2 linked regions of the Arabidopsis thaliana genome follow. Changing the gene in region 2 together with the main gene of any one other region gives a genetic interaction. Each region holds a gene or a part of one and is shown on either strand. Other genes may lie near its edges.

Region 1 (16,164 bases), about 15 Mb from region 2:
GAAAGCCTCCCAAGCAGACTACTTGTAATGTGAGTTATCAGCTAAAGCTTTTGTTAATGAAGTAGATTCCAAAAAAATTAGAGTCTTGCTTATTACAGATCAAACCTATACATGCACTTGCAAAAAATACCACTACCAAAACACTGCGTCATCAATCACACACAAATGATATATTGAGTGGAAAATTGTTTTATGTGAGGTCTTGGTTATCTGTACTGATTTGTTTTTGTTGCTAGTATAAAACAGGATGGTTCTCTGAAGCGCTGCTTGACAATTTGAGACTCCGTGTAGCTGTGAGGTTTGTATCTGTGTTTCCTGAGCCAGGTTTCGAAGACGTTTTTAAATCTATTCAAGAAGAGTTTGAGAGGTCTGAAAAGACACGTATTCAGAAAGATGCACTGCAACCAAGTCAACGGAATCACCAGGAAACAACTAAAGGTAAGATAGACAAAGCAATTTCAGTTCTTTTCATCTTTACATGTTAGGCAGCCTAGTTAGTGATTGTTGACATGCATGGAGCCAAGTGCTTCTTTTTCAAATCTCAATGGTCTCAAAATTGTGTTAAAGCATGGTGAACTTGACTGGAGTTAATTTGTTGGACATATTGTACGACGAATTTGTAAGTAAATATATAAGGGTGCACAATCACATGTGCCAGCCAAAATCGAATGAGGCAGGCATTTTATATTGTCATACATCTCATGCTCTGCTTATTATCATTTGTCATCAAACACATTCTCCTTAAAAGAAGTATGGATTAACAGTTGTTGGTGTAAAATTATCCGCAGATATGAAAAAGTGTAAAAACACAAACAAGGAGAAAGATGATGATGTTAATGCGGATGAGGATTCTGAAGACTTGGATGATGAATACGAGGAGGTAACCATGCTTACAAACTACTTCTTGTTTACTTCACCCATTAGTTTTCCCGAAAGGCTTGTTCATCGTTTCTCTGTTAATCTAATGTGTTGTGTTGCAGGCTGCAAATGATGATGACATATCAATAAGTTCTCATGGATGTATCCTTCAAAGCATAAACTTTCATAACATAAGCACCAATTAGTCATTAGTACATGCAGATTCTAGGGGATTAGGAGAGAATTTAGAGCTTGATCTGGTTTGGTTTAAAGTTTTTCTTAAACAATGATAAGATGGTGACATGGAGAACAACTCCAGAACCTATCTGCAAGGTTTGTTCAATAGGTTTCCAAGCAGCGCATCAGCTTTGTATGGTAGTGCCAATGATGATAATGATAGCGATGGAGAGTATCCGATTTACGAGCAAGAATCCAACGCTCTCGACGATGACGAGGAGGATGATGAGTGAAGAAGTTTGAATATAACGTGTATTTACATTGTAAATACGAAACTCGGTGTGTGTAGCTAAATGTAAAGAGACTAGATTTTAACCCCCGTATACCGCGGGACGATTTATTTTTTAAAAGTAATATAAATTAAAACTTGCAAATTTTATTTTTATAAAATATTTATATTTTGCAATTTATAATTGTTATTAAGTAACGCTATACCACGAATCCATGAGACAATTGTTAAAAAAATTGAAGTTTTAACCCTTATTAAAACAACATATTAACAATATTTTCAAATTTTATAAATATTGATTCAAATACATCCACCATATAACCCAATTCCAAAATAAAACCCGTTTTGTAATTTCTTCACCCATCCCGTGATTTTTTTTTAAAGTAGTAATTTTTAAAATTTTAGAATTATTAATTATATATATAAATTTTGCAAATTGTATCATTGTTTAATACATTTAATACATGTATATTTTATAGTTTAATTTTATATATAGTAACATTATACATACAAACATATCATTTTTGGTTTTATATAATCTTTTTTTAAATTATGATGATTTGATATGTTTAGTATTAGTGGTCTTAAAAAAATAATAAATTAAAGATTTAATCCGTATTGAAACGGTTAATTAATTATATTTTAATTTTTTATTAATGTTGATTCAAAAACCCGTCTCTCCAAATTCGTCTTGCCAAAAAGCCATTTATTTTATTAATATTAATTTTATTTATGATATGACTCTAAATTATAATCTAAACATTTTAGCTAATAACATAGGAGTGCACCATATTTATTTAATAGGGAAATGTATCATATGACCCGAATGCACTTTTACCCAAATCCACCAAAAAGGTCTTGCAAAAATACTATAGAGATAAGAAACGATAGTTAGTTTTGATAGGTATAAGATTAGCAAATATATTAGTTAGCTTAAATTAGTTAAAGAATACAAATTGAAAAGGTATATTACACTTTATTCGAATATAGTATCAAAATTTATGTAACACAGAGATTTGATAAATTTTTAATTGTTGAATACTTTTTTTTTTGCTAATTTTTATGTAATTAAGATTTAATTGATTTCGTATATAAAATATGAAATTATTTTACGAACTTATTTGTTTATAATTTGGTAACAGATAGATATTTGAATATTCAGTATATTTTGCTTCAGATTAGGAAATCTTTGATGACCCGTCTTTAGATCCAATAAGCCCTATAATTAAGAGATGAATATTGTCGTTAAATGATTTTGGTAACCTTAATGACGTCATAAAAGGATTTTGTTTTTGATTAAATTTTTCTAATGGCATTGTTATGTAATTAATTATAAAAGTTAAGGTTATATATAAAATATACTTTCCAAATAATATAGTAGGATTAGGTAACGGTTAATTGTAATTTCAAACGTGAGATTCATTGTGCAAATTAAAGAGAATCTAGTAAAAAATAAAACTAAAGGGTAAAAAGTTAAATTATAAAAAGATAAGATCCATTGTGCAATTAAAGAGAATCTAGTTATTAAAGATTAGATATGCGAATAATCGTCGTCACAATCTCTTCCTCATATTTATTTCTCTGGTCTTATTTATTTATTAATAGGCCTCTCTGAATCTTCTTCGGTACGAGTATGAGCCACGATAGAGAGTTGGTTTCGATCGTTAGGGGTATTTTGGTCAATTGACATGTTCGTTGGCCCATCTCCGCCGCACACACCACTCGTTAACCGCCGTAACATCAACAACCACCGGCCTCGTAACGCAACCGTCACCTCCGCTTTACCTGATATTTTCCTCGCGGCGGTCTCTCTCCTTTTCCTCTGGTCATCTCCTAAACCTCTAGTCTCTCTTCCTCCGAACAGATTCTCTTTCCCTCTAAATCCTCGCCGTCGATCCATCACCGCCATGTCTCGCCGATCTCCTCCTCCTCCTCCTCCTACTCAACGCTTCGCTAATCCTCAATCTCTCTCCGATTGGCTCGAATCGCGATTACCTTCCGATTCATTCGCCGCTTGGGGAGTCAAACCGGGAACCAAAAACGTTCATAACCTCTGGCTAGAACTCTCCGACGGCGAAACTTCTCTCGCCGATTCAACTCCTCCAGTACGCACCGTCAACGTCGTCACCGTTCGAGTAATCGGAAAAAACGGACGAATCCTAGTGGAAGCTCATCAGGAATTATCCGATGGGAGTATTCGTGAAAGATTTCGTCCTTTATCAGAGAAAATGAAGCCTGAAGAATCTCCCGACGAAGCAGTTTTTCGCGCCATAAAAGAAGAGCTCGGATCTATCTTCAATGGCGATGGTGATAACATTGGACAGAGAATTAAGATTCTTCCCGGAACTTATAACAGAAGAGTTGAAGAAAGGAACTCGCTATCGTATCCAGGATTACCGGCGCGTTACGCTCTTCACTCTGTGAATGCAACGGTGGAGGGATTACCGGAGCAAGATTTCTGTACGGAGGAAAAAGAGTACGAGGGAGGAGACTCGACGAAAGATTCGGTTGAAACACTCGCCGCTGGGAATGCTGTAACTGTGAAACGACATTACTGGAAATGGGTTAGTCCTGATTCGATTCGATCTTAAAAAAAATCTCAAAACAAAGCTTTTCACAAATTTTATCAATCTTGCTTTTGATACATGAATAATCAGAGAGCCATGTAGAGATACATATACACATTTATATATGTTCATAATCATCTTCTTCGTTTGGCTATTTTTGTGTTAGTGGATACTATTCTCCAGAAGTTTTGATCTCACTATAGCTTATCTTCTTCGAGTTCATTGTTTTGTGCTGAAATTTGTTTAGCTGAGATTTTGTCAATCTTTCTAATTCGTCTTGCAAGTTACAGAAACGTAATCCAAATGTATGTAGTTACAGATCTAACGTAGATTCTAACTAAAACTCAACAACAAGCTCGAAAGATGTGTATGTACACACAAATGTGTCACCAAATCTAACGTATGTGGAATTAGTTGTACAAAGAACAGCTCCTGCATCGGAGAAAACAAAATTCCTCTAGTTGATGATACAAAATTGAACTGTATATAATATATCAATTTGTTGGATCACTATGGAGCTTGTGTGGATTGGACTTGACGAACGAATTGGCCTTTGATTCGTGGTCGTTGCTCTGCTAATTTCTTCCGGCTCTCGTAACGAACCTGTTAAGTCATTCAAAGGTTCCTTTAGTATCATTACGTTATGAGTTCATCTATGTGATGGAACCATCGAAGTTAAGTTTTTACCTTTTTCTCATAACATCTGTCCTTTCGCTTCATTCGGAATTTGGTTAAAGCGGCTTCTCGTTGAAGAGATTGCTGAATTTTCCCGACGGATAATGAATAGCCATCTTCGTTCTTCTTCTCAATAAGCTGATCAATGTGATTGCCTATTGCACTATGTTCGGTTGCAGAAGAGACGTATCTCCTCTCATCTACATCCATGGAACAATCCCGGTCTTGTAACCCCTCGGGTTTACTGTTGAATGGGTGAAACATGGAACTGTACTCATGCGGGCTAACGGAACTAGGGCTTGGGGAGAGTGAAGCAGGAGCCATTGCAGATGTATAAGCTGTGTTGGGATCTCTGAACTGTATATTGTTGATAGGGGTTGGCGTAGGGTATGAACTCTGTCCCGGCCAAGAATTCAGCTGATTACTAAACGGTGGACCAGGTGAGTCAGCTCCAGTGTAAAAGCTGGTGTCGTTTCTTCTTGGAGCATTTGGAGGCGGTTCAGATGTATTGTATTGGTTCATTAGCACAATGTTATCATCTTGACTTGCTGCAACATTCTTTCTTTGATCAGTAACCACTGGGGAGGCTGAACATTGTGTCTGCAACGGCCTGTGAACGTACCTGCAACAAGAACATAACACACACAATCAGCAGAAAGAACGACAACTATTGAACGATTAATAGAAAGAAGAATTGAGAAATTAGACAACTCACCGTGTGAAAGCTGAGGCACTAGAAGGATGAAGAGAAGGCCGGTCTCCAGAAGATTGGTTCTCAGAAGCATTAGGTCTTCTCAGAGAAAGATCAAGCTCTATCCGAGATTCGTATTGAGCAACACTTTCTTCTCTGTTACGTCGTCCAGTTCTTCTAAACGATGCTCCCATGAAGTCAATGGCTTCTGCTTGCTTACTCTGCAACTCATTTGCTAGAAGCCGTGTCTCATTAAACTGAGACTTTGCGCACTCCATCTGTACTGCGTCTCTCGCACTAACCTCCACGTCTGCGCTCTCACCTTCCATCTCTGGTCTTGTACACGAGCTCTGGGCATCACCACCATTCCCACTCACAACATGATCGTCTCTCTTTCCGTTCGAGTTGTTTGCAGACGCACCCTCGGCTTTCTGCTGTCCAACACTCTCATTCCATGGAAAGCTATCAGGAGCAAGTGACTGTAAAAGATAATCAAAACCAAAAACAAATCTGAGAACTCAATCATCTTTTCAAGACAACGAAATTTCCCAGAACTTATATAAGAACGGGTTTAAGTTGTAGAGATAATTCATCACACATAAAGCTTAAAACAAAAGATGGATATGAAACATACAGTTTGTCTTCTCCAGACATGCTGCCAAAGATTTCTAAGCTCATTCCTCCTCAACGGCTTAACAAGATAATCAGCCGCACCTTTCAACATACACTTATACACAGTATTCACCGAGTCCTGTGTCGACATCACTGGAAAAAAAAACAATACATAATGAGCCAAAAAATCATTTCAAAACGATGGAAGAAAAAGATGTATATATCAACGTACTTATAACAGGAATGTTCTTGCAAATATCATGCTCCATGATAAGTGTTAGCAGAGCATATCCAGATATTGAAGGTAGATCAACCTCTGTTAATATCAAATCAACACTTTCAGGCTTTCCTTTTAGCATCTCCCAAGCTTTTAAGCCATCAGGTACTGCAGCAACTGATCAATACACAAAACCAAACCACATTAATACAAATCCTTTTAGCTTGTTGTAGAAACTAAGCGTTGATAAAGATTTCTATATGAACACAAAACCGACAAAAAAATCGTTGACTTTTCTAAATTTGACTTTGAATTGTAACATTTAGCCGCACGCGAATCAGATTCAAAACATTAGCATCTCAATCGAATTCATAATTCTCAGATTCTATACAAACAAAACCTAAATCTCAAGCATTGAAACCAGAAACTAACCTCTGTAACTACATTTCCTGAGAAGAGCAGCGATAATCTGTCTAGTAGAATCATCAGCTTCAACGAGCAAAACTCTAAGCGCGATTTTCGGGAGAAATCTCTCCCACTTCACCAAACCATCAACACCGGCGTCTTTCTTCCGAATCTTCCGACGTGATAACTTTCCTCCGCCAGCTTCAGGTGCTTTAACCACCGTCACTTCAACTACTTCCTCGCTACTAGTCATTATCACAACACAAACACTTAGCTTTGAAAAACCTAAATCGATTATTGAAGAAGAAGAAGAAAGCTCCAGAGAAAGAGAAACAGTTACAAAACAAATCAAAATATTTGTGAGTGGAGAGATAAATGAGAAGAGAGCAAAAAAAAGAACTTTATTCTTTCTATAATAGTGTGGAGAAAAGAAAATATCTAGAAAAAATCTAGCGAATGTTTTAACGGTTATGATTGAAAGTGGGTGGCGAACCGACCATGATCTAACGGTTGTGGAAAGAGTATTTGGATTTGAAAAAATATCTAGTAGAATTGGCTGACGTGGCCACGTTTGCCACATCAGCAAAATACTGTATACGAGACAAAAGAGATCCAATACGCCAAATAACCTTCTTTTAAGAAAAAATTGGTGTGGTGGCTAGCCTTTGGTTTTTCTATGTGGTTCATATTTAAAGTTGGATTTAATTTTTTATTATACTTTACCAAAATATTTATTGCAATTGATGTTTATGTATTTGTGATGGAGAAATATTTAGTGAATTTCTTGTTTATTTTTCTTTTAATAAGAGATCAACACTAAACATTGAAACTATTACTTATTTGATGCTTCTAAATTTTACTTTTATTTTAAAATGTATTTTATATTATTGTTCAGACATTTTAGCTTTTGAGTACCTATAAAAATCCCACTCGTGACTTTTGGGATAATACCAAACCCAAAAAATATCTAATGCTAGTGGGAAAAAGTATCTATACAAATTTATCCAAAAACAATTGTATTATTTTCTGTTTGGTACATAGGTTTGCAATTTGTTTATTTTAAAAACAATAAGGATATTTCAATTTTTTTTCACATAAGAAAATCAAGGACACATGGTATAATTTATTTTCTGAAATAACAAATAAGAACTTTTTGTTAATGAATTAATTATACATATATTTCAATATTATTTTTTGGCACAAAAAACATTTGCTTACACCAAATGATCACTGGTGCTAACTAATAGCAAATGTCATATATTATTTTATATTTTTTCGGCCAGCCATATATTTTAGTCACGAAATAAGAACACTTTAATATTGATTTGCATTAGAAAAGAAATGGAACAATCAAACAAATGAATATCGATCATAGAGATTCATAGTTTACCAAATTTTTATCAACATTTTGGTTTTTTCTATTGCTACTATTTTGGTTGCGTGGTGGAATAAATCAAATGGAACATGCACGAGTCAAGAGTAGGGACAAAGGGTGATGAATTTTAAAGTAATTTTCCGCGGCTAGATATTTTGTTGTTGGGTGGGATTAGATTAGAGACACTTGTTTAAAAACCTCGTGGTTCTTTGGTGGATAGGAATATGACACGTGTATGGTTATTATCTGACACAGTCTTTCACCTTTAAATGGTAGCTGTCACTGTCAGAGACTAAATATCTTCTTTTTTCCTTGTCTCTTTACGCGCCCGCGAGTGTAATATATCTCTCCTACTCGCTCTCTTGTAACAAGAGTCTTGTCCTACGCTATGACTTTCTTTTTTATTGACTGGACCCTATGGTTTTCTTCTCTTAATCAAACTTAGTAAACTACTAGGTAATAAAAAAGGACAATTAGTGTAATGATCAATCAAACAAATGAAGAAAATGGTTAATAATAAGCCAGGTGGTTTAGTTCCTTGTACTAGCACTTCATGCGTTAAACTGAGAAATAGGTTTAGGCCGGCGTGTTTTATTGACAAAAGAAAAATAAGTGCTATATAGGAAAACTATGTCAGTGACAAATTTTTATTGTTGTTAGATGGGTTTAATTAACATTGTTTTACTATATTGTTGCTGGTCACATAATTGACAGCATATATTAGAAATTTTATTATGATGTTGCTAATAGAAATGATATAAAATAGACAAAATAATTAAGTCGCATTCGTCCAATAATAAACCAGAAAATAATTATTCGTCATTTGGATTTCAGTAATATTGGTCACCGAAGTTCGAATTTTAACATAGTTTTTTCGGGCTTGAAGATTACTCTTTGGACATAAAAAACCATTAAAATCATCTGAATTATCAAAAAAAATTTGTATAATGATGATAACGATATATAATGTCAAATAATTTTTACGGATAACAACTTTACTGTGGTATCTAAATAATAAGTTATTTTTTTATAATATGTAATAGAAAGTACGAAATTCGAGAAAGAATTACATTTTTAAAACATTAGCAACTGTTTTTAAAAGTAATCACTGTTCTATGATCAATACTTATTTGATAAATTACAACTATTTGAAAGTATATTTATTTTATTAATCAAAAAGATAATATGTGGGGCAAAATTAAAATTCAACTACACAACATGATACTTTGAAACAAATTTTTTACTATTTTTGTTTTGTCGCCCAAACTTTAAATTACTTGAACTCGAACCTATGATATACAGACGAGCGTAATAACCACAATTGACTAATAACTCAACGATATATAAGAAAAAGAAAATGTTTGATTAATTGGTTGGATGATGCTCTACGCACCGGTGTTGAAGTGTAGTGGATCAATGACTTTTGGCTTGAGGAATAAAATCTAAAGATATTTTGGCCTAACTTACACTGAACATGCTCCATCTTTTTTCAAACAGATATTTTTTGTCTGTGTGATATTTCCATGGCCTCTCTTTTTGTGTGGCCAACTTTGATATTTCCTTTTTTTTTTGTTCTTTACAGTATGTGTATGATGTTTTTCTTCATTTTTAGGCCACTTGAGATATTTCCATCTTATAATATCATAAATGGCTAATGGTCTGCTCTATGAACAAACAAACAAAAAGGCTAATGGCTTATCCATTTTCCCAAAAAACTTAAGCTAGTTGGCATTAATGGTCTTCAAAACATCCATACAATCAAACATTATCTACGTTAGATAATCTAACCAATCCGTTAATCTAATTAAAGATTATATGTAAATCTTGAGATAGGCCGATATTGATATCATGGTGGATAAAAAAACTTCAAATTAATTTTGCTGAGTTGCATGAAAACAATGTTTTGCCGATGTTTTAGGTAATGATTTTTTTTTTGAGTCAATTCCATCTAATATATTTAATCGTCATCAACATGTTGTTCTATCTAGACCACAAATGAATTTTGTCTTTCTATGGTTAAATGTTTTCACTGATATGTAATAGTAATATAATGGGTTAGTAATATTAGATAGATATTTTTGAAAAGATATCTTTATAAAAATGATGCGTGACAAAATCTTAAATTAATAAATTATTTTTATCTATAAAAACCAAAACTATAGTAGATTTGATCAATAAAGATATACCTTAGATTTGTTATTTCCTAATAGCCCTAATGTTCCTTGTATGTAGCAGTAGGCGACTACAAGTTAGAAGAAACCTTGATACATATGTTCAGGGCCAGCCCTGACATTTTGTGGGTCAAAACTCAAAAAAAGAAAATTTAAGGTTAAGTTAGAAGGTTAAAAAATTTGGGGCAATTATTGGAAAATGAGTAAAATAAAGGATGCTTTGTAAATAAGCTTTGCTGAAAAAAATGGAGGTCACAGCAAATGTTTTATCCTGCTGTGTCCAGATGTGTCGAAGATCAGCTCTGCATATGCTAACGAAGGATCTAAAAAAGAATATGTAATTGGAAAATGCTTAGTTTCTACGAGACAAGTCGTACTATAATAAATACTAATGCCAAATTTAAAACATATTATTAGAAGGAAAAAAGAATCAGTAAGTAAAAAACAAATAGGAATGTCTAATTATTACTAGATTAACCCAAAAACAAATAGGAATGTCACTAAGTAAAAAACAAAACTCTTTGGAATGGATGATTTGAATGAATTTCATGGTTAGTTTACAATAGCCAACAACACATGGATCTCTAATTGTCCACAAAACCCGTGATTCCTAAGCTTATTCAAGATCCCAACATGCAATAGCTTTTTTCTATCTATTTGTTTACGATGATTGAGATTATTAATCATTATTACAAATTAATAAATGTCATTTTTACAACAAAAATCATTAAAATACAGTGCATATCATATAAAACAAATTTTGTACAATCAATTTCAATTTGTTATCATCTATTGTGAATATTATTTTTCTAAACCGATGCAAGATTGATAGTATCCAAAATATTACTATTACATGATTTATATTGTCTAAACTAGTGTATTTTAAAAATCTTATTGTGAAATGCCTTACAATAACAAAATTTAAAATTTTCACTTTAAATATTAATCTCCCAATATTATTAATTTAGAGAGGTTTTAGTTTTACTGTAATTAGTATATTTGACACATATTTTGTTTCTTACTTATAATTTTGATTAAAGATTAAACAAATCACTAAAATTAATAATGTTGGGACCATGAATTTCTATTAATTTATAGAAGTATTAATTTATAGAGAGTTTAGACTAATTTTATAATTTTAAAAAAATATTGAGTTTGAAATAATTTTGTTTTATTTATAATCATTATTTTTCTAAAAGTAATTGTAAATAAGAATAACTTATTGTGTCTATCAAATAACAAAAAAGTGTTTTCGATGTAGTAAAAATATTAAAATTGAACATTGCCAAGAATTAGTATAATAAAAATAAAAATAATAGCAAATTCATAATTTACTAATTTTTCTAACATATAACATATATATATTTTAAAATTTTTTTTTCAATTATTAATTTATGTTATTAATGGGACCATATATTTACATAGAATTTTTAAAATAAGTATAATCTTATTAATTTATCGATTTGTGTTATTTTTTACACTGGTACCAACTCGGGACCGAAATTTTTTATTAATTTATACAGATTATTAATTTATTAAATATTAATTTATAGAGGTTATACTGTAGTTAGCATAATCAATTATTATGTTAGCTAATTAATGACTAAATCACACGCATATAAAATAAACTATGTTGAGAAGAAAACAAAACACAAAATAAAGTAATGACCAAATTGAATTAGTAAGAAAAGCATTGTCCACATATATTCTCACTATTATTGACGGAAAACAAAATCTTAATATGTAATCGAGCTCAAAAATCAAAATACAATACTAATTTTTTTAAAAACCGTATAACCTTTCATGAATCATTGTTTAGATTTTTATCCTTGACATCACTTGGTGCATGCTTATGACGTGTAATGAAGATTTTGGTCGATATCTTGTTGCGATATCACTTATGAATTTTCTTTTTGTCAAACAAGCCTTTTGCATTTCATTCATTTTATCCCCTAAGAGCAAAGGTTACAAAATTTTCGAGTATAAAAAGGTTACAACAACTTCAGAGAACTAGAATTAACAACAAGAAAAGGTCGATAGCTTTTATAATCCATAGAGGAACAGAGACAGAAGCAATCAAACAACAAGCCACATATGACCTCATGATGTATCATAGACACTTTCGCGACCAAGTCAGGGAGCTTTGGTGTAGTCACGATCAAGAAAACTTGATCTTTTGACTTTGAAAATGTGTCCTTTGCCACATGGCTTGCCGGCACGAAGCGCAATAAGGACGTAAGGACCAATGGTGGAGACTCATGGGAGGTAAAGGTTTTTTCGGGTTTGGTTTGGGGCTCTAGGTTTAGGATTAACGGGTAAAAATGATTAGAGAAGATTTGGTAACCACCGTTCCTTGGAGACGGGATCATAATGCCATTCTTCATCAAACTTTTACTTTCAAGAGTAGTGCCCAAGGTGTAGCTAATTATCTCAAGGATGAAGTCAATAAGCAAATGAATCGGAGATGAACACTTAAAGAAGCTTCGGTAATCATCGCTCCTTAGAGACGGGATCATAATGTCGATCATCTTCAAACATTTAGCAACATGAATAAGACACCTATGTGATTCTAAAGACAAGGTTCTCAAGAGATTTTTGTACCAACCTAGCAGCAATGTGTGATTAAGACTCAATCGATGTCCATTAGCAATTGGTATCATGAATCGACACAAATGCAAACTAAAAGAAGGCAAACATCAAGTTGAATCAAACCTATGATTTTGCGGAAACGCTTTGGAGGGGCCGGGCCAAGTCATTAAAGGAGATGGGTCATTGCTTTTGGGGATAGGCCTAGAATTGGTTAATGGGCTCAAACATGAGTGGCCCATTAAGAGAAACCGTAGCAAGGCTTCCGTTGAACAGAGGACGGTGATGGTACGACGGATCTGTGGTGACAGATAGGACCTCCGATGAAAGCTAAGCGATGTCGTTGGGACTGAGATCATCAACGACGAGGTACACACATAAAAGAGATCGGAGGTAAGGGTGGTGATGGATGAGATCGGATCGGATTTAGATCGGAAGAGATGGGGTTGTTCTGTTGGAGAACACTTCAAAAAGGTCGATGCAGACAAAGGCTGAGGAGAAGGAAGGGTCGCCGGCCAACTCCTCTGCCCTCTGTCACTGGTCAATGAGCAGTCGAAAAAATGAATCGATTGAAAATGTGGTCGGGATGATTGAGAGAAGAGCCAAAGCATAAATAAAAAGAGAAAGAGGTAACAAAATGTGTGAAGCAACGGAAAGAAATCCCGACGCCGGTGAGCAGAAGCTTCACCGGATGACGTAGTAAGGGTAGACTCTTCGATATTAGTGCTTGGAAGAGTTTTAGTGATTATTTAGTTTGTGATATACACTTACGAATTTTCTAATGTTGAACATTAGTCAATGAAAAGGTTTATGAACGTCAGTACTAGTACATACTAAACTAAATTTACTACACTAAGAAATTACCACAAAAATTATGTAGAATTATCAAATTTTATTTGTGGAAATGTGAATGTAAGACCTTAATTTTATGAAAATTTTACAACAAAGAATTCATGTAACTAACTAATTTCTCATATAGAAACTAAATTAATCTTGTAAGTAAATTAAGTCTCATACTTTCATGTAATGCCAAAAGAATTAAAGAAGTGATAGTGAACACACATCTCAAATTAAAGGGACTAATTTGTAAGAAATGGAAAGAAAGGGGTTTATTTCACAATTCTTCTCGTTTTGCATATGTCATCATCCTTATCCATTTTTCACCTTATCCAAAATATTTTCCACTTCCTTTCTCACTACTTCAGTCTTCAAGCTTCACTTCTCAGAAGAAAGTAAGATCTGCGAATCTCTCTCACTCTCACAAATGGCAACGCTTTTAGGTTTCTCTCAGACTAAGTTTCACCATTGCGGCGTCTGGATTTCTACGCCGCCGTGCTCATCTTCTTCCACGGTAGTCTCAATGGTGGGCTTGAATCGGACTGATTCGAAAAAGCTCCGTTCAGATTTCCTCGGCCAGATTGGTTACGAAGATCGGAGACAAGTAAGACACAGTTACTGTAGAAGCTCATTAGCTGTGAAAATGTCGTGGGACGGTCCTCTTGCTTCCGTCAAGTTGATCATCCAAGGAAAAAACCTCGAGGTTTGGATTCTGCTATTACACACTTGAAATTGATTGGATTCTGAACAAAATGTTGAATTTTATGTTGAGTTTTTCTGGGTTTCGATTATTGAGGAATGTTCATTAGAAAAGTTTTGAACTTTCTGGATACTGATTCTGTTAGGTTTATGATAGTGACTCTTGACTCTTACTCAGTGGGATTTATGTGTTCAACATTTTGGTTTTGATAGTTGAAGTTTGTTGTCTTCAATCAATTGGTTAACTTTGATACTGTTGTGGCAGTTATCAGAGCCAATTAAGCAGCATGTTGAAGAGAAAGTAGGCAAATCTGTTCAGAAACACAGTCATCTTGTGAGAGAAGTTGATGTAAGACTCTCTGTTCGTGGTGGAGAGTTTGGTAAAGGCCCTAGGATTCGAAGATGTGAGGTAAACATGTCGTTTTTATTGATTTGTTGTGACTTGATCTCGATATTAGAAACGCTTTCAGAAGCTAATATGTAGTTCCCTATGGTACTTAAGGTGACATTGTTTACAAAGAAGCATGGTGTTGTGCGTGCTGAGGAAGATGCTGAGACAGTATACGCTTGTATCGACTTGGTATCAACGATAATACAGAGGAAGCTGAGGAAGATCAAGGAGAAGGACTCAGACCATGGAAGGCACATGAAAGGTTTCAACAGATTGAAGGTAAGGGAACCAGTGATTGAGCCGGTTGTGGAGGATGTTGAGGACAGTACTGACTCGAGCGTAGGAGAAGAAGAAGAAGAGGATGATTTGATCAAGGAGGTTGGTCCAGACTTACCTAATAGGCTAATGCCTTATCATTGGAGTTTGCTGATCTTATGATGACGTTTTCTGTTATTGCGGGTTTTTCTACAGATTGTCCGTACCAAGACTTTCGAGATGCCACCATTGACTGTCGCTGAGGCAGTCGAGCAGCTGGAACTAGTCAGTCACGACTTCTATGGCTTCCAAAATGAAGAAACTGGTATGCATGTGACAATTTTATTTTCTTCCATAAATACTCGATTGCTTAAACCTCAGAGGAGTCGGAGGAAGATCAACAGGAATACTTACATTTTGATATTGTTTTTGGTTTGCAGGTGAGATAAACATAGTGTACAAGAGAAAAGAAGGAGGTTACGGTCTGATAATCCCAAAGAAAGACGGGAAGGCCGAGAAGGTTGAGCCGCTTCCAACCGAGCAATTGAATGAACACTCTTTCGCCGAGTAGACTGCCTCTGCTCACACCAAAACCGATAAGCTCATCTCTCCTTACAGTTTACCTGTGTAGGAGTTAGGGTTCTTGAATAAACAATGCAACAAAGATTGTAGAAGTCAGTGTACATAAAAAAATGGCCAACCACTCTTTGTTACTTTTGTGGTGAAAAGGAAGATCTTAATTCTCTTTCCATCAGATGATAGCAATACATTTTTTCATAAACAAGAATGTTACATAATAATCATACAACAGTCATCATCATATACATAAATGCCAAACTTGGTTTGGTTTAGTGACTCTATTAGGCCAAAGACCGATAACCTTGAGCCGCTGCTTCGCTGTTCTTCTTGCTTGTATGTATACCGAAAGAACCTTCTTTTCTAGGCTTAGAGAGCAACCTGGATAAGAGAAGAAGAGATGCCATTAATATACAGTAGGAGTAGAAGCCATTGAACACAGCTAACGAACTTGCCTTCGGCTGACATTGCTGCTTTCTGGTTCATCATGAATCTCTTCGACGTTATAGCGTGGATTCTGCAATGAAAATGAGACATATTAACAACACAGTTCGATTCGCATCGCATCGGTGAACACTGCAGAGACCTAATCCAGTTCTACTGCTAGTAATAACCTAATACATTATGACTATCAATGCCATTGGAATCACATAACGTAAGGATATGCAATAGTCATGATCACTCACATTGTCTGAAACTGATGTTGAAATCTTCATCTTCTTGCTTTTTTTCCGAGCAATTCCACCATCATCATCATCAACATCATCACATTTCCTCTTTTTC
Region 2 (17,217 bases):
GAATGTTTATGGAATTCTATTACAAAATTAAGTTACAATTATTGCATGTATCTTTGTCATAATCACTCGTTCATGAATTCTAACATAATTTTTAATCGAATGTGGATTCTTAATTTTCTTTTGGCAAAAAGTCACTCGTCCCAAAAGAATTAGTCGAAGAAATTCTTTACATGGGATGCTAATTCAAAAAAAAAACTTTTGGCAAATCGCTTTTTTTGGTATCTGGACCGACCGTCTTCATGGGCAAACTAAAATTGTTAATGGCTATATTAGTACTTGTCTAGTACAAGTTGTATTACTAAACTGTACTATTAAAGTATTTGTAGATGAACTAAATTTTAAAGATGAATTAAGTTTACTTGACTCCGTTTTCTCCACCCAAATTTGAATCCATTAAGCGTTATCCCCTCTAGTAAACTTTCACCTAAAAAATCCATTGACTATAGATCGAGTCTACTCGATTTAAAGATGTCCAAAAAACAAAAAAAGATGAACTAAAGTAATCAGTTATTTAAGAAAATCTTTTACATCAGTTGGTTTAGAAAACATAATTTAATCTAACGGAACTTCTCATTTTCATATGATAATCTATATATAGAATATTAACCTTCTTTTATTGTTAACGTTTTGTGGATTTTGAAAATTTGAACTAATACTAGATGTTTAACTTTGTTAATAAAATACTACTAATCATCACAAATTAACGTAGATGATGCAAAACAAAAATATGTGAAAGTTTTTAAGAGATCTGCATTTTGTAAACTTCACAAAAACTAAAAACCCTTGTCACAAAATCTAAACTCAGAATTCTGAAATTATAAACTAATAACTTTGTTGTTTAAGACTTACTCGAAGTTTGTACACGATAGTTCATACACCATATCAACATTATCATAATCTCTTCTCCCCTCTTCTTATAAAAGAAAAAATAATATTTTCAAAAAAAAAAAAAAAAAACTTGTATATAAACAAACTATTAAATTCAATAAAAAGATTTATAAAATTTATGATAGTAAATAAAAATGATTTTACATATCGTAATATTTCGAACATATAGTAGTGAGTCATAAGCGACATCCTAGAAAAGGTATATACAATAAGTCCAGCATTGGTTACAGGTCAAATCAAAGCATTTGCGTATATAATATCTTCCAAAGCACGTGAAGATATTTCCAACGTTTTTTTTAATATTAAAAAATACACAAAACCAAAATTCTAAAGAACTTTAAAAAAAAAAGCTCTCATCAGAGCAGAAGTTTCATCCATCAGAGGGTTTCCTCCTTAGAAACATCTAGAAAAAACAAAAGGAGAGAGAGAGAGAGAAGAACCATCCATCACAGAAACATCTTTTCCTTTTTCACTAAATCCCCATAAAAGATCTCTAAAATAAACCTAGCAAAAAAAAAAATCAAGAGAAAAAAAACGAAGAACACGAAGAACGACAAACAAAAAAAAAATGCAAGCTGCTTCGGTAAACAGCGTTTTTTTTTTATATAAATATTCTTTGTATGCTGTTTTTTTTTGAAGGCTTCTCATTCGGTGAACAACAACCAATTCTAATTTTGCATATATATTTACTCTCTGAGTATTTGTTTATTTTAATTAAAGAAAATTCTCAATGGTTTGTTCTTAAGACTGAGTCATCCTCGAATCTTTTGTCTAATAGTTACAAATATAGGTTCTTACAAAGTGTATTTCATGGGTTTCTCTTTGGTTGTTTAAAGATTATAACTTCAAAATGAAAATCGATAAAATCTGAATTTTTTTTTCGATCTTGTGTTCTTCATCATCGTAAGTGTTACATCTTTGAGAATTTTTTTTTTGTCTGTACTTAAGTGTTATTGTCAGATTGTTGTGATGGTTTATTTTTTTTGGTTCTTGCTTTAACTTTGACATAATTGAACCTTTTGTGTGAAATCGGATCTCGGCAGCTCTCAAAGATCTGGCGTTTCGATGGTAATGTGGGTCCAGAGAACATGGATTCTTCTTCGTTTGAAGGTACGATATTTTCTCGACGTGAACGTCTCTCTCACTGTTCCTAGTTTCATGCGTTTTAGGTCGTTAACACGACGACGTTTTTACACAATATCAACAAACGTTTTATTTCTCGCATTGGATTCGTCGTCATTGTTGATATTTCGTTTCTGGGTTGTTGAGATTCATTCAAAGTTTTATACTTTTGATCATTTTTACCCCAAAAAGAGTCAGAATCTGTGATCCTCTCCTTTTTATCTTGAGGAGAATCTAGGGCTAAAGGATTGGTCTTTTATGGTGCAGATAATGAATGCATTGAGACTTGTAAACCAAACGTTTTGAATGTAAGTGAAAGGAGAGAATTGATCCACGCATTGTCTAACCAGCCTGAAGAAGCTTCGGAGCTTTTGAATTCATGGAGCAGAAATGAGATCATGAAGATCATATGTGCTGAGATGGGTAAAGAAAGGAAGTACACTGGTCTTAACAAACCAAAGCTCATAGAGAATCTTCTGAATCTTGTGTCTCGTCCTCTTGGAGAGACCTCTTGTTCTGACCGTAGAAACTCGAGGAAGAAGGAGAAGAAGATGATCGGTTACATCATTTGCTGTGAGAATTTAGCTTGTAGAGCTGCGCTTGGATGCGATGATACGTTTTGCAGAAGGTGTTCTTGCTGCATCTGTCAAAAGTTTGATGATAATAAGGATCCTAGTTTATGGCTTACTTGTGATGCTTGTGGATCGTCTTGTCATTTGGAATGTGGTTTGAAGCAAGATAGGTATGGGATTGGGAGTGATGATCTTGATGGTAGGTTTTATTGCGCGTATTGCGGTAAAGATAATGACTTGCTCGGGTAAGGATCTTTAGATATTGAAATCTATGGATATACTACAATGAAAAGAGAATGTAATGTAATGTGTGTGTATGCGAGTGCTTACAGATGCTGGAGAAAACAAGTGAAGGTGGCGAAAGAGACGCGGCGTGTGGATGTACTTTGTTATCGTCTTTCTTTAGGACAGAAGCTGTTGAGAGGTACCACGAAGTATCGGAATCTGTTGGAACTTATGGATGAGGCGGTGAAGAAGCTCGAAGGTGATGTGGGTCCGTTGTCGGGTTGGGCCATGAAGATGGCTCGAGGCATCGTCAATAGACTTTCTTCGGGTGTGCATGTCCAGAAGCTGTGTTCTCAGGCAATGGAAGCTCTGGACAAAGTGGTCTCACCATCAGAATCTGTTTCAGGACAAGGTTAGTGTGTTCATACATTACTTTGGTTTTAAAACCGAAGATGTTGACTTTAGTTCCTGTTAGGTGACAAGATGACCGTGAGAGTAGAAGAGATTCAAGCAAGATCAGTCACTGTGAGAGTAGACTCCGAGGAGCCGTCTTCTTCTACACAAAACAAGATCACAGGTTTCAGGTTGTTTTGTCGAAAGTCGAAGGACGAAGAATGCTCGTCTCAGGGGAATTGTGTTGTTTATCTACCTGAGACGACGTCTGCCATCCAAGGACTTGAACCCGACACCGAGTTCTGTCTCAGAGTGGTTTCCTTTAACGAGGAAGGTGACTTAGATGAGTCTGAGCTTCGGTTCACAACGTTGAAGGATGATGGAGATGAAGCTGGGGACCAGCAAAGCCCTTTGACAAACTCAAGCAGTGGTCTTTGTAGTAATCCATCTTTACCAGAAGATGAATCTAATAATGTCAATAAAAGCTGCAGCAAAGGAAATGGTGACAAGGACAACACTGAACACTGTAGTGCAGGAGAAGTAGAATCTGAGCTTGAAGAAGAGAGGCTTGTAAAGAGGAAAGCAAACAAGATAGATGGAAGAGACTTGCTTGTAACACCCTGCAAGAGAGATATTTATAAAGGAAAGCAAGGAGGGAATAAAAGATTCAAATCAAGAACAGTATCCTTGAACGAGAAACCTGAGATCAATAATGCCGCAAATGGAGTAGGAGATAAAGACTTGGGTCATATTGTTAAGACGATTAGATGTTTAGAGGAAGAAGGACATATAGACAAGAGTTTTAGGGAAAGGTTCTTGACATGGTATAGCTTAAGAGCTACTCACCGAGAAGTAAGAGTTGTGAAGATCTTTGTTGAGACGTTTATGGAGGATCTGTCTTCTTTGGGACAACAGCTTGTGGATACATTCTCAGAAAGTATACTGAGTAAGAGATCATCGACAAATGGTGTAGTACCTGCTGGGATCTGCCTCAAGCTTTGGCATTAAAAGCTTTTGAAATCGGTCTATTTATTAACTCGCTTGATATTGTAAACCATAACGATAATTTTGGAATGAAATTATGTAAGTACGCATTTCCAATTTCTTTCTGATGCTTAGTGAAAAACTCAAAAATGAATAAGCCTGATTTCAAATGAACCATAGTCTGACAGTTAGAGCCGGGAGATTACACACAAACATTAACATTTTTAAATCTCGAAAAAGAAATAACTCACGAGTTGTTTCCAACCAAATTCAGAGAGTACAAGTTTGTTCTCTATAAGACATCAGAACAGAGTCTGGGGAAGAATTGGAGTAACTAGTAACTACTATCTGGGAAATGCAGCTCTAGCCCTCATCTTTTTGACTAGTGTTCAAGACAGCGTTAGAGGGACCTGCAAGATATATTCAAAGGTTGGTGAGCAGAAATCGATCAATGCGAAAACAAAAACTGGATGCAGAGACACGAAAGATTCTAGTTAATAATCAGAAAAACCGAAACTGCTTAATCTCATCAGAGTAAATGATCCAAGGGCAAGTAAATTCTAAATTCAGCTGTTGAGAGTTGAGACCTATTGGTAAATACCAGCACATAGGTGGAATGATCGGTTTTACGCAGTAACTCGCACAACTTGATCTTGTAAGATGCAGATTCAAATGTGCCAAGGCAAGAAAACTAAAAAACACAAGACTGGTTCCATTTCCTCTGGATTAACTAAAATAGTTCTTCATGCAGATAACAAAACTAACCGAGTGAACTATCTGTATATAGAGCTTGTGAGGATATCACCTGAAACAAAGATCTCTGGTATAGATCTAACTAAACAACCACCAGTGAACTAGATTGAGAAGCAAAACAAGTGAGTAATATAGAGAAAGCAAAATGCTGAACCTGATGAGTACTTAGAATCCATTATCTGAAAAGATGCTGATGAGTTCATTTTCTAATGCAGCCAACAAGTCTAAGAACTAAGTCCTATCTAATTTAATCATACTACACATAGGAGCTAAACCTATCTTCCAATTGATAGAACAAAAACTTGGGAAGCTTAGTGGAAAGCCTAACCTTGAGAAGACTAGCGATTACGCTCGGCCGGTAGAGGACGGTTAAATCCACCGCGACGGTTCATGTACTGTCTTGGCTGACGCTTAGTTACAGCTCTAATACCACTAACATCAGCACCAGCAACTGGTTTGCCTTTTGTGGAATCAAATCCAGTAGGAATCCCTAACATCTTCATCATCTCAATCTCATTCACATCCATTCCTTCTTCATCTTCGCCTCCGCCATTATCAGCAGCATCACTTGGTTGTTTATCCTTCTTCTTAGTAATAGTAGACGCATTCTCGTCAACGGAATCAGTCACTACTCTTTTGCGATTCCTTTCTTTCTCATCGTCTACTGAACCCTGGCGAGGCCGTTTTCGCGACGGAGCATCTGGAGAAGGAGACCTGCGCCTGTGGTGTCGTTGACGGTCCCGGTCCCGGTCACGGTCAATCGAGCGGGAACGAGAGCGATACCTCTCCGGAGAGCGCACGTGGCGAGCACGAGCGTGGTGGTCTGGAGTACGAGATCGGGATTTTTTGTTTCTAAGCCCTCGGTCACGGTCGCGCTCTCTATCTCTTTCCCGGTCTCGATCACGGTCACGGTCACGGTCGTCTCTACCTCGGCGTCTATCACGGTCTGGTTCACGGTCCTTATCCCTCTCTCGTTCGCGGCGGTCGCGCTCTGACATGGTGGTGATGCGACTGAGGAAGGTGCTAGTGTCAGGGTTTAACCAATTTCAACACTGTAAATTTTCTTCCCCAATTTTTTCTATTAAAATGAAAATTTGGGGTTTTATCCTCTATTTTTCCAATTTTCTTATATTCATCATACTCAATGGAAAAATAATAATAATCTCATTTTGTCTCCGAACTAAAAGTATGAAATTGGAAATGAAAATAGTGGTCCAATAGCATAAGAAGAGAAAGGATCTTATTAAAGTTTGTAATCATAAATAAAATTTACAGAATATGAACACAAATGCACTTCTCAAACTTCAAAGAGAACAACAGAAACAAGCACTACAGAGAGAAAGAGAGAGATGACATTTTCACTATATATATTATATAAGCACTAAAAGTCCTCCTAATGAGGAAGAAAGAAGAAGAAGGACTTAAAAAATATGAGCAGTACCAAAGTCCCACCACTGAGTCGCTCTCCCCTAAAGCTCCAGTATCCTAACCGAGAACCCTTTTTCATCTTCTTCTATGGCTGGGTTCTCTTTCATACATAGGCTCTCTTTGGTTACGTGAGATAGCTCGCTAGTGATAATTCGTGTAGCTCACTTAGCATCCATTCTTCTCCGGTCTGACCACCTAGCACTATCGCTCGTGTTCCTCCCACAACACAAGTGCCATGTCCCCAAGCAAACCGAGGCGGTCTTCCTGGAATGTTTAGTATTCTCCAAGTCGGTTTGTCCTCCGTTGGGTCAAGTAGATAAAGCTGAGACGCTGAGTGAAGCCCTGCCACTGAGCCGCCAAATATCAAGATTCTGCCTCCAGGGAGGTTAACTGCAACGTGATCTAGCCTTGGTGGTGGTGCTACTCCTCCTGGGTTTCCTGCTCCAGGCATTCCGCTACCGGTCACACACCTCCAACAAGGCTCCTCTTCGCTTAGATCCATTGTGAAGACATCACTCGAACGGAATTTCAAAGGCCCGCTCTTAGCAAGACCACCAAACATCAAGATCTTTCTTCCTCCATAAACCGATAGTGTGTGGCCTAACCGGGAAGGCGGAGTCCAGGCAGCTGGAATCTCTCTCCACACTGGTTTCTCTATTGAAAGGTCGAGGAGGAACGTGTCACTTAGAAGAACGCCGGAATCTGCACAGCCTCCAGAGACTATCAGTTTGGTTCCGTCAAGGGTGCATGAGCTGTGCCATGATCTTGGTAGAGGCGGAGCCAAACCCGAAATTTCCCTCCAAGTAGGCGGCTTAGCATCGAGATTCAAGACAAACACATCGTTCAGCAAACCTTGCTGACCACAGCCACCAAATACAACCAGATTGGAGCCATTTACACAAGTGAGCGTGTGGCCCCAGCGTCCTGGAGGAGGGGAGCTCACTTTGACATGTTGCCATTCAGGGTAATCAGAATTCAGATCTAAAACAAAGGTATCATTCATAGGCTGCATATTCACACCTTCTCCTCCAAACAGAACAACTCTGTTCCCGACAGCACAAGCACTAAAATTACAGCGAGAAGGCTCAACAGAACCTCCAACCGAAAGTTTTCTCCAAGCTGCAGCTTCAAGGGTGGTCAGTTCTCTAGCCAAGCGGCCCCAACCGAGTCTTTTAGCACCAGGAACAGTCTCTAATACCCGTGTTGTTTCACTTCCCCATGCATTCTGACAAACCCTTCGCCAAAGATCCTCATTCTTTGTCAGCACATATAGCCTGCGGCACACAGAGCTAACAGATGCAACGTCTCTTGGTGTCAGGCGTGACAATATCTTCATAGACACAACCTCGTCACTCAGCTGGAATAACCCACACATTCCTCGGGAAACATTCCGCTCCCCAGCAGCTAAAGCTGAGTATATCCCATCAATTGACTTTTCTTTTGTTGAAGATCCAAGAACAGGTCCAAGGTCAATGTCTGTCTCGATAAAGAACTGGATTCCAATTATATGGGTAATAGTATCATCGTCTCCATAAATAGGAGTCAACCGCAATCTATTCATCAACGGAGATCCATCTTTCCTAAAGTTCAACAACTCGCCTTGAAATTCAATGCCCTCATCAATACATTTTCTTATCTCGGAAACAACCATAGAGTCAACTAATGGATGCCTTCTTTTAGCAAACGGTCCTCTACATTGCAAGAAGCGGCTGCAGAATCCGAGAAATTAATTAAGAAACAATATAAGACCAAAAACAAAATTTATCTCCAACTTACTGATGCGGAAAAGCAATAGACAAAATATTTGGCCGTGCATGTAGAGACTGAAAAAAAAAACAAATACACCAAACAAGCATAATTATAACCTAACCAGATTTTCATTCTGTTCAAGAATAACAACTATTTGAACTGATCAGCTCCTCCTGTAAGATCAAAGCTTATTAATAAAGGAAGCTACTAGCACTTCTCTCATGGAAAACTAACACACAACTAAACGCATTGGACTTAGCCTTTTCACTGGTTCACTGCACATCAACATTGTAAAGAATTTATTGTGTTCGCTACGACCCCGAGAAACTACACAGGGATAGCTCGCTTTATCTCGGCATCTATATACACTTTCAAGTTTCCTTAACATGCGGAGCAGCTGAAACAGCTCAAAAACAGCCATGAGAGCTCGATTAATATGAAAACTACAATCACTGAATAAACATCTGAAGGCAGAGAATACTTAGGCACACACAGAGACTCCACTGAGTCTTCTCTGCCATTTGGCAGAGACTCTAATGATTATCTAACAATAGACATATCTTTGTTTTCTCTCCACCAAAGTATCCATCCATACTAAATCTAGTGATCAATAGAGTGTCCTTCAGATTACCATCATCACAAACATTCCTCACCTATCCTCAAACTAAACGGACCTTAATCAAACTCCACCAAGTAGCCAAAATTTGGTAAAGTGAGCCAATAACCAAAAATAGAAATTCCTCGCATCAATTAGAACACTAATCACAAAGATAACAAAAAAACAACTAACCAATTTCCTCCGAGAACTTCCTCAGCACGATACCCTGTAACCATTTCGAAGACGGTGTTGACATATATAATAGGTTGGTCCGGCTCAACGGCATCAGTAACAACGAATCCACAAGGCGCCGTGTGAAGCAAATTCCCAACGGGATATGGAATTGGTCCACCTCCGGGAAAAAGACCTCCCTCTTCATCATCCGCCAGTGACGAAGCATCATCGGCGCTTAGATCGGAACCACTGTCCCACTCCATGAAAATTCAAATAGTTACCAGACTGATTTCAGTCGCCGGAGATTATGAAGACGGCGATTGAAAAACAATCCGGCGTGAGATAATCGGAAAATTTTGGGAAAAGGAGATTTTCGGGGGTTGAGAGAGAGAGAGAGAGAAGATGGTGGACAAAGAAACGAGTGGTAACCGTCGAGTTTGGTGGAAAAATCTCGGCCGTATGAGTTCATTCGAACGGGTCGGATTTTATCCGGGTCCGGATTTCTCTGTCGGGTCAAGTAGATAAAACCATAAAACTCCCCTTGATTTTTGGGAAAAATGTCATTAAAATCTCCAACTTATTGAAAAAGTTGATTTAAATTATCAACTTCCAACTAAACGAAATAAATATCAAATTTTTGTTGACTTTCCAAATAAATACCAAACTTTCGTATATATGGTCATATTAGGTATAATATTAAGTAGATTAACATATTGCGTTCACGGAGTTAATTTTCTGTTAACAGATCCGTTAATTTAAAACGTTATTGTTTCCTATAACAAGAAAGCGACCTCGTTTTATTATAACGACCGAATTAAATTCCCAAATCCAATCTTAAATCTCCAAATCAAGCAAAATTCTAACCCTAAATCTTCATATGATTTGAAATTGGGATTTAATTGAGCATTTATGACATAACGACGTTGTTTTATTGTTATAGGGAATATTGTCGTTTTCAATTAACGAGTCTGTTAACAAAAAATGGACTCTAATAACAGGGTCTGTTAATGTCATACTTAATATGGCTACTCGAACAAAAGTTTGATATTTATTTGGAAAGTCAACCAAAATTTGGTATTTATTTGGAAAATCAACAAAAGTTTGATATTTATTTCGTTTCGTTGGAAGTTGAGGATTTAAATCAACTTTTTCAATAAGTTGGGGATTTTAATGACATTTTTCCCTTTGGTTTTTAGACTCTCTTTAGCTGAGCTGAAGCTTATTACTTTCCAAATTTGTGGGCTCATGTCTTACAATAAAGCCCATTACAATAAAGCCCATTATAGTCCAGTAAATGAGATTATGTGACTGAATAGTATGAGTTTCGTAATAAGAAGACGCCATAAAATGGAAAAATAGCAAGATCTATAATTATAGTTACGTAAATGAAAATTTGTTAAGGTTGTTGGTTGCTAAATCTTTTCTTGAACCGTCTCAATTATCAATTGCCTATCATTTAATCTCTTCTGTAATGTTCCTTTTATACGCAGAGGACCAAACTAGTTACATCAAATCAATAGATAGTTAGTTGAAACAAATAACTTCTCGTAACTACTGGTTAATCGAATCGGTTCGGTATATCATAGAATCATAGGTGCAAACAGACTTTTAAACCAACATCAAACAGCTGAATTGGAATTAAGATTTAACCCAACTTTAGTGTTTTATATCAACAATAATAAGAATAAGTTGTAAGTACTTATATATAAGTAGTTAAGTACTGTTTTATATCACCAATAATAAGACTGTTTTATAAGCCTAAGTTACCGATATGGGGCAACTATCTTATGAACTTTATTTGAAGGTTATTATCTCATGAAATGAATTGACATACTCAATTTAACAAAACAGGCTTACCTCGTGTTATTAATTATAAGTTTCGTATAAAAATAATAAAATTGATAGTAAAAGTTAAAACAAAATGGAGAAATTGTTTGTAATGATGCTAAATACAATTTTTTTGTATTATATTTCCCTTACAAAGTAGCAAATTGGTCAAAATTCTTCGTCACCTCTTTCTTTTTTCCGACATTCTTCACCTCGTTCTGTAAAACTACTAAGTAAGTAACTAATACAATGCCATACGACTAAACAATATCTTCGCAAATAAAAAGAAAAAGAAAATATTTCTTTTAAATTATGGTATTTAGTTTTTAACAAAAATATAAAATATAGCGATTTACATTTGTATTACTGATATAAATAGATCATATAATTTTGACATTAAAGACTTTAGAAAAATTATAATTGTAAATATTTTTTTTGTGTATGACAATTTAACACATAAAAAGGACGTGAGAGAACAAGTGGGTTTGGTCGGTTGTTTTCTTTACACTTTGCAAAATTCTCTATTCATTCATATCTTCGACGAGATGCTAAAATGCCCCCACTATAAAATTCCTTTTTCTTTATACAAATTTTGAAAGAAAAAAAATTCCATAATATCATGATTAATTGTTTCAGATATTCAATGTATAGTAATTTTCTAAGAAACTTAAATAACTACGTATATGCTGGGAAGATATAAAGAAAAACCTACATAGAGAATACGAACATGAATATCACAATAAGCGTTGGTCCAACGACCTTCCAACAAGCACCTCTTGTATGATTCGACTTCTACATTTATTCATCACCTCTCTTTTTTCTCTTGTTTATTAGATTCTTATTATCATGTGTTTTGTTTCCCCCTTTATTATTATTATCTCTTAGAACCTTGTTCGTTCATGAAAATCTATTATCAACAAAACTGAATTGAAAATAAAAAGAATGATTCAAGATGAAAGTAAATTCACTAAAAGAAATTTACCAAAAAAAAAAAGTATACTTGTTAAAAAAAGAGATTGAAAAAGACATCTTCACTATATATGTTGGGTTCGAATAAATTCGCTGGCCTTTTCTCTTAAGCCACATGGTATGAGAATTGTTTTGTAAAATTTGTTGTCATCTTGTTATTGCCAATGCATCATGATCGTAGAGATGTAGGCTAAAGAAACTTTTTTAAAGTGTGATTTTACACAGCAGCTGGTGGTTACTGCTTAGCCATAAAATTATGTGTTGATATTGACATAAGTGGAATGTCGAAAACATGTTTATTCATACACGTATATTGTTGAAAGAAGTGTTAAACACATCATACGTTTAAAGTAGACAAATCTAGAAATATATAACAAAAGAGAATTTGTTTGTACATTTAAAAAGCCTTAGCTCTTTTTGAGCAAAATATGTAATATTATAATTTCAACACTTTTGAGTGTGTTTACTAAAACTAACAACCTTTATGAAGCAATTGGGATGGGTTTGTGTGATCTAAAATTGAGGTAGGATCGTGGGACCAGGAGAACATGAGATGCATCGAAGGCAAAGTCCAAAGACACTACGTCACTTTGAGTGGATTGTGTACGTGAGGTTGTACGAACCATCATTTCACGTTACATATGTTGCAACGCTGCGTAATCTGTCCCCACCATCCAACTTATTTCTAATTCTTTTTCATAATTATATTTGTATCTAAACTAAGTAGAATACCTACATATTGAAAAGAAATATTACTTGCTAGGGCCTAGGGATAAACGTTAAAGAGAAATATTACTATAGAGAAAAACCCTTTAGTTTTGAACACAATTTCTATGTGTAAACATGCGTGATTGTTATGTAGGCAGATGTGCACTAAGCACTTAAACAGAAAAAGAGACAAGTTTTGAACATGAGTTATGAGTAAAACATATAATTATAAAGTTTTGAACATGAGTTATGAGTAAAAACATATCATTATAAAGTTTTGAGAGCATCTATGAGTAAAAACAGACTAAATTAAATAGAACATATATATGGACAATATAGCAAGTAAAATCTCTCGGACTGACGAAATAGATGTAACTATACTACCAATGCTTGCGATTCAAACCGTCAAAAGTGAAAAATACTGTGAAATAACAAGTCAACTTCTATAAATGAAAATTAATATATATTGTAGACGGTTTATATATACGTTTGGATCATATCGATTCACTAATAAAAAAGTAACAAGTGTTATTCCACAAGTTGCATTTTTCATTTGTCTATAAGAACTTTATTGATCTTAAATAACGTTTATGCTTTTTCTTACACATATATGGAACCGAATTCAACAAAAACTTTCAAATAGATTTGTTTTATATGAACACAATTATGTATATTGATTGTCCATTTATGAAGAAAAGAATAATCTTATGCTTCACACCGTTGACAAAAAAAGATAAACGTATGTCATTAACCCTCTCTTTTTCTGGTACATGTCAGAGCAAAGAAAATTTACTAAAAGGTTATTTTGTTTTTCCTTGTTTGTCTATAAATCTACTGAAAGCTTTAAATGCAATTTTATTATTTTCAAGAATCGGTCTTTTTACACTTCCGCGATACTAGCTAAAGGAATGTACACGTGTCAGGATATTATTGTAGCATCTGATTTTTACCATTGATGGTAACTAAAGTTAGTAACAGAACCATCAGGTCCATCACCGTAAAATATGACTAGCACAGTAGCACCTTTACCAGAAAATAACGCCGTTAGCTGTTTTCATCAAGTCAACAACAACCATTTTAACGGCAGTTTAGATATATTTTAATTTTTTTTAACCATATATCATTGGAAGTAAAAAGTTGTCATACTAAAATATATATCTTTTAAGATCTCAAGGTAATTAAAAAAATAATCAAAGACGCTTAAAATCTGAAATTTTCAATAAAGTAATCATAAATTATTTTATGATTTAAATTTAGGTTTATCATAATAATCTTGAAAGAAATTAAATAATATAATAGTTTTAAGGAAATCTATTTATTTGTTTTTTGATAAATTACATATCTATAGTAAATTAATGATATTGAATGGTGTAGTTGGTTTCTCATAGGTAGAATTAAGACTTTCTCTTTTGTATTAATAAAATTTTATTTGACAACAAACAGAAGAAACCTTTTAATAAATTGAGAGAGATATACTATAGGACATGATATGACAAAACTGTCCTACTCAGTGAACTTCACTAACAGAGCTCAAATTTGAAATCTCAATGAATTAATATTTAATGACATAACAAGTCAAAGTGATGATATTAAATCTTTCCTCCTTGACAAGACGATAATACTTCAATTAACAAAAAAAAAAAAAAAAAGAGATGATAATTTTTCCAGAATAAAATATTTTCGACTTGGACTGGGAATAAAAAAAATGGGGTGACCTAAACCGACGTCGCATAGTTACGAGAGGCATATAAATAGAGAGCCACCAAATAGCCTAACGTAGTCCACCTTCACTTGCTCTCTTTTTTCCGAAGAATCTGGTTCGTTTCTCTTTGAATTATCTCTTTCTCTGTTCTTCTTCTTTTTCTAAAGTCTCGAATATATCTTCATTATCATTACTTTATTTGCTTCGTTCTTCCGCAGTTTTGTGCAAAGTTTTAACGATTTTTTGGTTTTGAACGAAGGCACAGAGAGAAGATGGCGAGTGGCCTCGAGGATATCGTGAACGAGAATGTTGATTTGGTATGGATTTCTTCTTTTTACTCTGTATATATTTTTTTGTTTCGTTTGTTTAACTTGTTTAATGAATATACGAGAGGAAAGTTTAGTTTGGTTTTGTTTTTTACTTAACGATTCGATCAAATTAGGGTTGTACACAAATCTCGTTACATCATCGTTGAACTATTGACTTCATGTTTTAGCATGAGATTTTTATTGTTTGATTTCGATGAGAAAAGAATCCATGAAAAAGTGTTAATATTATCATAATTATTTCAGTTTTTCTGCTTTTTTTTCAAAATTACTTTTTCTTTATTTATTTTTTTATTAGATTTTGCAACTGCACTAATTTAAAACAATTTGCAGTCACCAGAAATTTAGTTACAATTATGTAAAAGTTGTTTCCAAATAAAGCAAAAGTAATTACATTAGTAGTACTCTCTACTTTCACATGATCTATCTTAATGAGTATACTTTGAGATTTCTTAGAGAAGTTTTAGTCAATTCTGTTTTCAATTACTACGTTTTTGGATTTTTCATACTCATGGAATATCGCCTTATCAATCGGTTAATCACTTCCCTAGATAAAACTAAACTTCAATCTTCACCTGATTTTCTGGACTCAATTTAAGATACCATGTTATATAGACAGATTTGCCCCTATCAATACATCTTCCGTTACAATGGGCCTTATTGGGCCTTTAGGCTTATTATATAAGCGAATTAAAGTACAAGGCCTTGTGGTCCCACCTTAGATTCTCTGACATCGACAGCTACAGAACATTCCATAATTTTGGTCATCTAATATTTTTATGCTTTGATAAATAATTATAATCTTGATTATCTATTAATTTGCATGCTTATATTTTTTTCTTTTTTTTTGCTTTTTTTAGTACTGTAAAAGGTTAACATTTGTATCTGTAAAAAAGATGTACTACAGATAAAAACATACTTGGTTGTTTATTGGTGTAGGAGATACATAATTATTGAACACCATTTGAATTAGTCTAACATCGTGTTCATATTATATTGCAGGAGAAAATACCTATTGAGGAAGTGTTCCAGCAGTTGAAATGCAGCAGAGAAGGTTTATCTGGAGCAGAAGGAGAAAACAGACTCCAGATCTTTGGCCCCAACAAACTCGAGGAGAAGAAGGTATAGTTTGGTTTTAACCATTATCAAAGTCATCATACATGAGCTAAGTCACTAACTATGTAATGGTGGTTTCAATAAATAGGAAAGCAAGTTACTCAAGTTCTTGGGTTTTATGTGGAACCCTCTCTCTTGGGTCATGGAAGCAGCTGCAATCATGGCTATTGCCTTGGCTAATGGCGGTGGAAAGCCACCGGATTGGCAAGATTTTGTCGGTATCGTTTGTCTTTTGGTTATCAATTCAACTATCAGTTTTGTCGAAGAAAACAATGCTGGAAATGCTGCTGCTGCTCTTATGGCTGGTCTTGCTCCCAAAACTAAGGTCCCTCTTTATAAACTCCCTTCAAATACTCCTCTTTGCATTAGCATTTACGTGTATGTTTACTGTATACTTGGCATACGAATTACGCGAGTTTAACTATGTTACATAATTAGATTCTTAGCACCTAGTAGTTGTCTAACTTGAAAATGTTTGGCATAAGTAATTGGTTTACATATAATTTCATTACAAGCTTTTAATAATATTTGTTTTGTTATGACCAGGTTCTAAGAGATGGCAAATGGTCAGAGCAAGAAGCTTCTATTCTTGTTCCTGGAGATATTGTGAGCATCAAGCTTGGTGACATCATTCCTGCTGATGCACGTCTTCTTGAAGGTGATCCTTTAAAAGTCGACCAATCTGCTTTGACCGGAGAATCTCTTCCCGCAACGAAAGGTCCAGGGGAAGAAGTTTTCTCCGGTTCTACCTGCAAGCAAGGTGAGATTGAAGCGGTTGTGATAGCCACTGGAGTCCATACTTTCTTCGGTAAAGCGGCTCATCTAGTCGACAGCACAAACCAAGTTGGACATTTCCAGAAAGTTCTTACGGCGATTGGAAACTTCTGCATATGTTCCATAGCTGTTGGTATTGCGATTGAGATCGTTGTCATGTATCCGATCCAGCGCAGACACTACAGAGACGGAATCGACAATCTTCTTGTTCTTTTGATTGGTGGTATCCCCATTGCAATGCCTACTGTCTTGTCTGTCACAATGGCTATTGGATCTCACAAGTTGTCTCAACAAGGAGCTATCACAAAACGAATGACCGCCATTGAAGAAATGGCTGGTATGGATGTTCTGTGCAGCGATAAAACCGGGACTCTCACGCTAAACAAGCTTAGTGTTGACAAGAATCTTATTGAGGTTTATTGTAAAGGCGTTGAGAAAGATGAAGTTTTGCTTTTTGCTGCTAGAGCTTCAAGAGTTGAGAACCAAGATGCTATTGATGCTGCTATGGTTGGAATGCTCGCTGATCCAAAAGAGGTAATATATATAACTCTGTTTTTTCCTCTGTTTTAAAATTCTGTTTTTTCCTCTGTTTTGTTTCTTGAAGAAAATGTTCTGTTCTGTTTCTCATTGTTTGTTTCTTTCAGGCAAGAGCTGGAATCAGAGAGATTCACTTCCTACCATTCAATCCAGTTGATAAGCGAACCGCTTTGACGTTTATCGACAGCAACGGAAACTGGCACCGAGTAAGCAAAGGAGCTCCCGAGCAGGTAACTAAAACTGATTTTGGTTCTTAAGCTAAGTTAAGTGTTGTGACTTCTTAAAAAAACTGATTCTTTGATGATTTCAGATTCTTGATCTCTGTAACGCGAGAGCTGATCTGAGGAAGAGAGTCCACTCTACAATCGATAA

The links.
Region 1: of ZTL (region 2) and PRR5, changing one suppresses a phenotype caused by changing the other (phenotypic suppression), as found in Arabidopsis thaliana (one study listed by BioGRID).

What each region holds. Positions count from the first base shown.
Region 1 is NC_003076.8:8,351,803-8,367,966, forward strand, and holds PRR5 (two-component response regulator-like protein), read right to left. Parts: upstream 6,745-16,164; coding exon 6,519-6,744; intron 6,264-6,518; coding exon 6,102-6,263; intron 6,023-6,101; coding exon 5,892-6,022; intron 5,737-5,891; coding exon 5,282-5,736; intron 5,189-5,281; coding exon 4,579-5,188; intron 4,495-4,578; coding exon 4,402-4,494; downstream 1-4,401. Other genes in the region: AT5G24450 (Transcription factor IIIC, subunit 5), read left to right, coding at 1-29, 237-438, 789-880, 981-1,020, 1,153-1,328; AT5G24460 (RING-H2 zinc finger protein), read left to right, coding at 3,013-3,915; AT5G24480 (Beta-galactosidase related protein), read right to left, coding at 12,029-12,596, 12,750-13,234; AT5G24490 (30S ribosomal protein), read left to right, coding at 13,888-14,163, 14,425-14,568, 14,662-14,928, 15,022-15,130, 15,246-15,376; AT5G24500 (fantom protein), read right to left, coding at 15,666-15,762, 15,837-15,898, 16,068-16,164. UniProt on the Arabidopsis thaliana protein: Transcriptional repressor of CCA1 and LHY, thereby controlling photoperiodic flowering response. Involved in the positive and negative feedback loops of the circadian clock. With RVE8, forms a negative feedback loop of the circadian clock.
Region 2 is NC_003076.8:23,233,529-23,250,745, reverse strand, and holds ZTL (Galactose oxidase/kelch repeat superfamily protein), read right to left. Parts: upstream 9,320-17,217; 5' UTR 9,150-9,319; coding exon 8,905-9,149; intron 8,075-8,904; coding exon 6,531-8,074; coding exon of another isoform or gene 6,490-6,530; exon of another isoform or gene 6,423-6,489; coding exon 6,331-6,422; 3' UTR 6,156-6,330; downstream 1-6,155. Other genes in the region: VIN3 (Fibronectin type III domain-containing protein), read left to right, coding at 1,457-1,471, 1,932-1,998, 2,278-2,827, 2,915-3,219, 3,283-4,208; AT5G57370 (U4/U6.U5 small nuclear ribonucleoprotein), read right to left, coding at 5,276-5,935; HA3 (H[+]-ATPase 3), read left to right, coding at 14,365-14,409, 15,421-15,540, 15,623-15,859, 16,081-16,842, 16,953-17,075, 17,156-17,217. UniProt on the Arabidopsis thaliana protein: Component of an E3 ubiquitin ligase complex that plays a central role in blue light-dependent circadian cycles.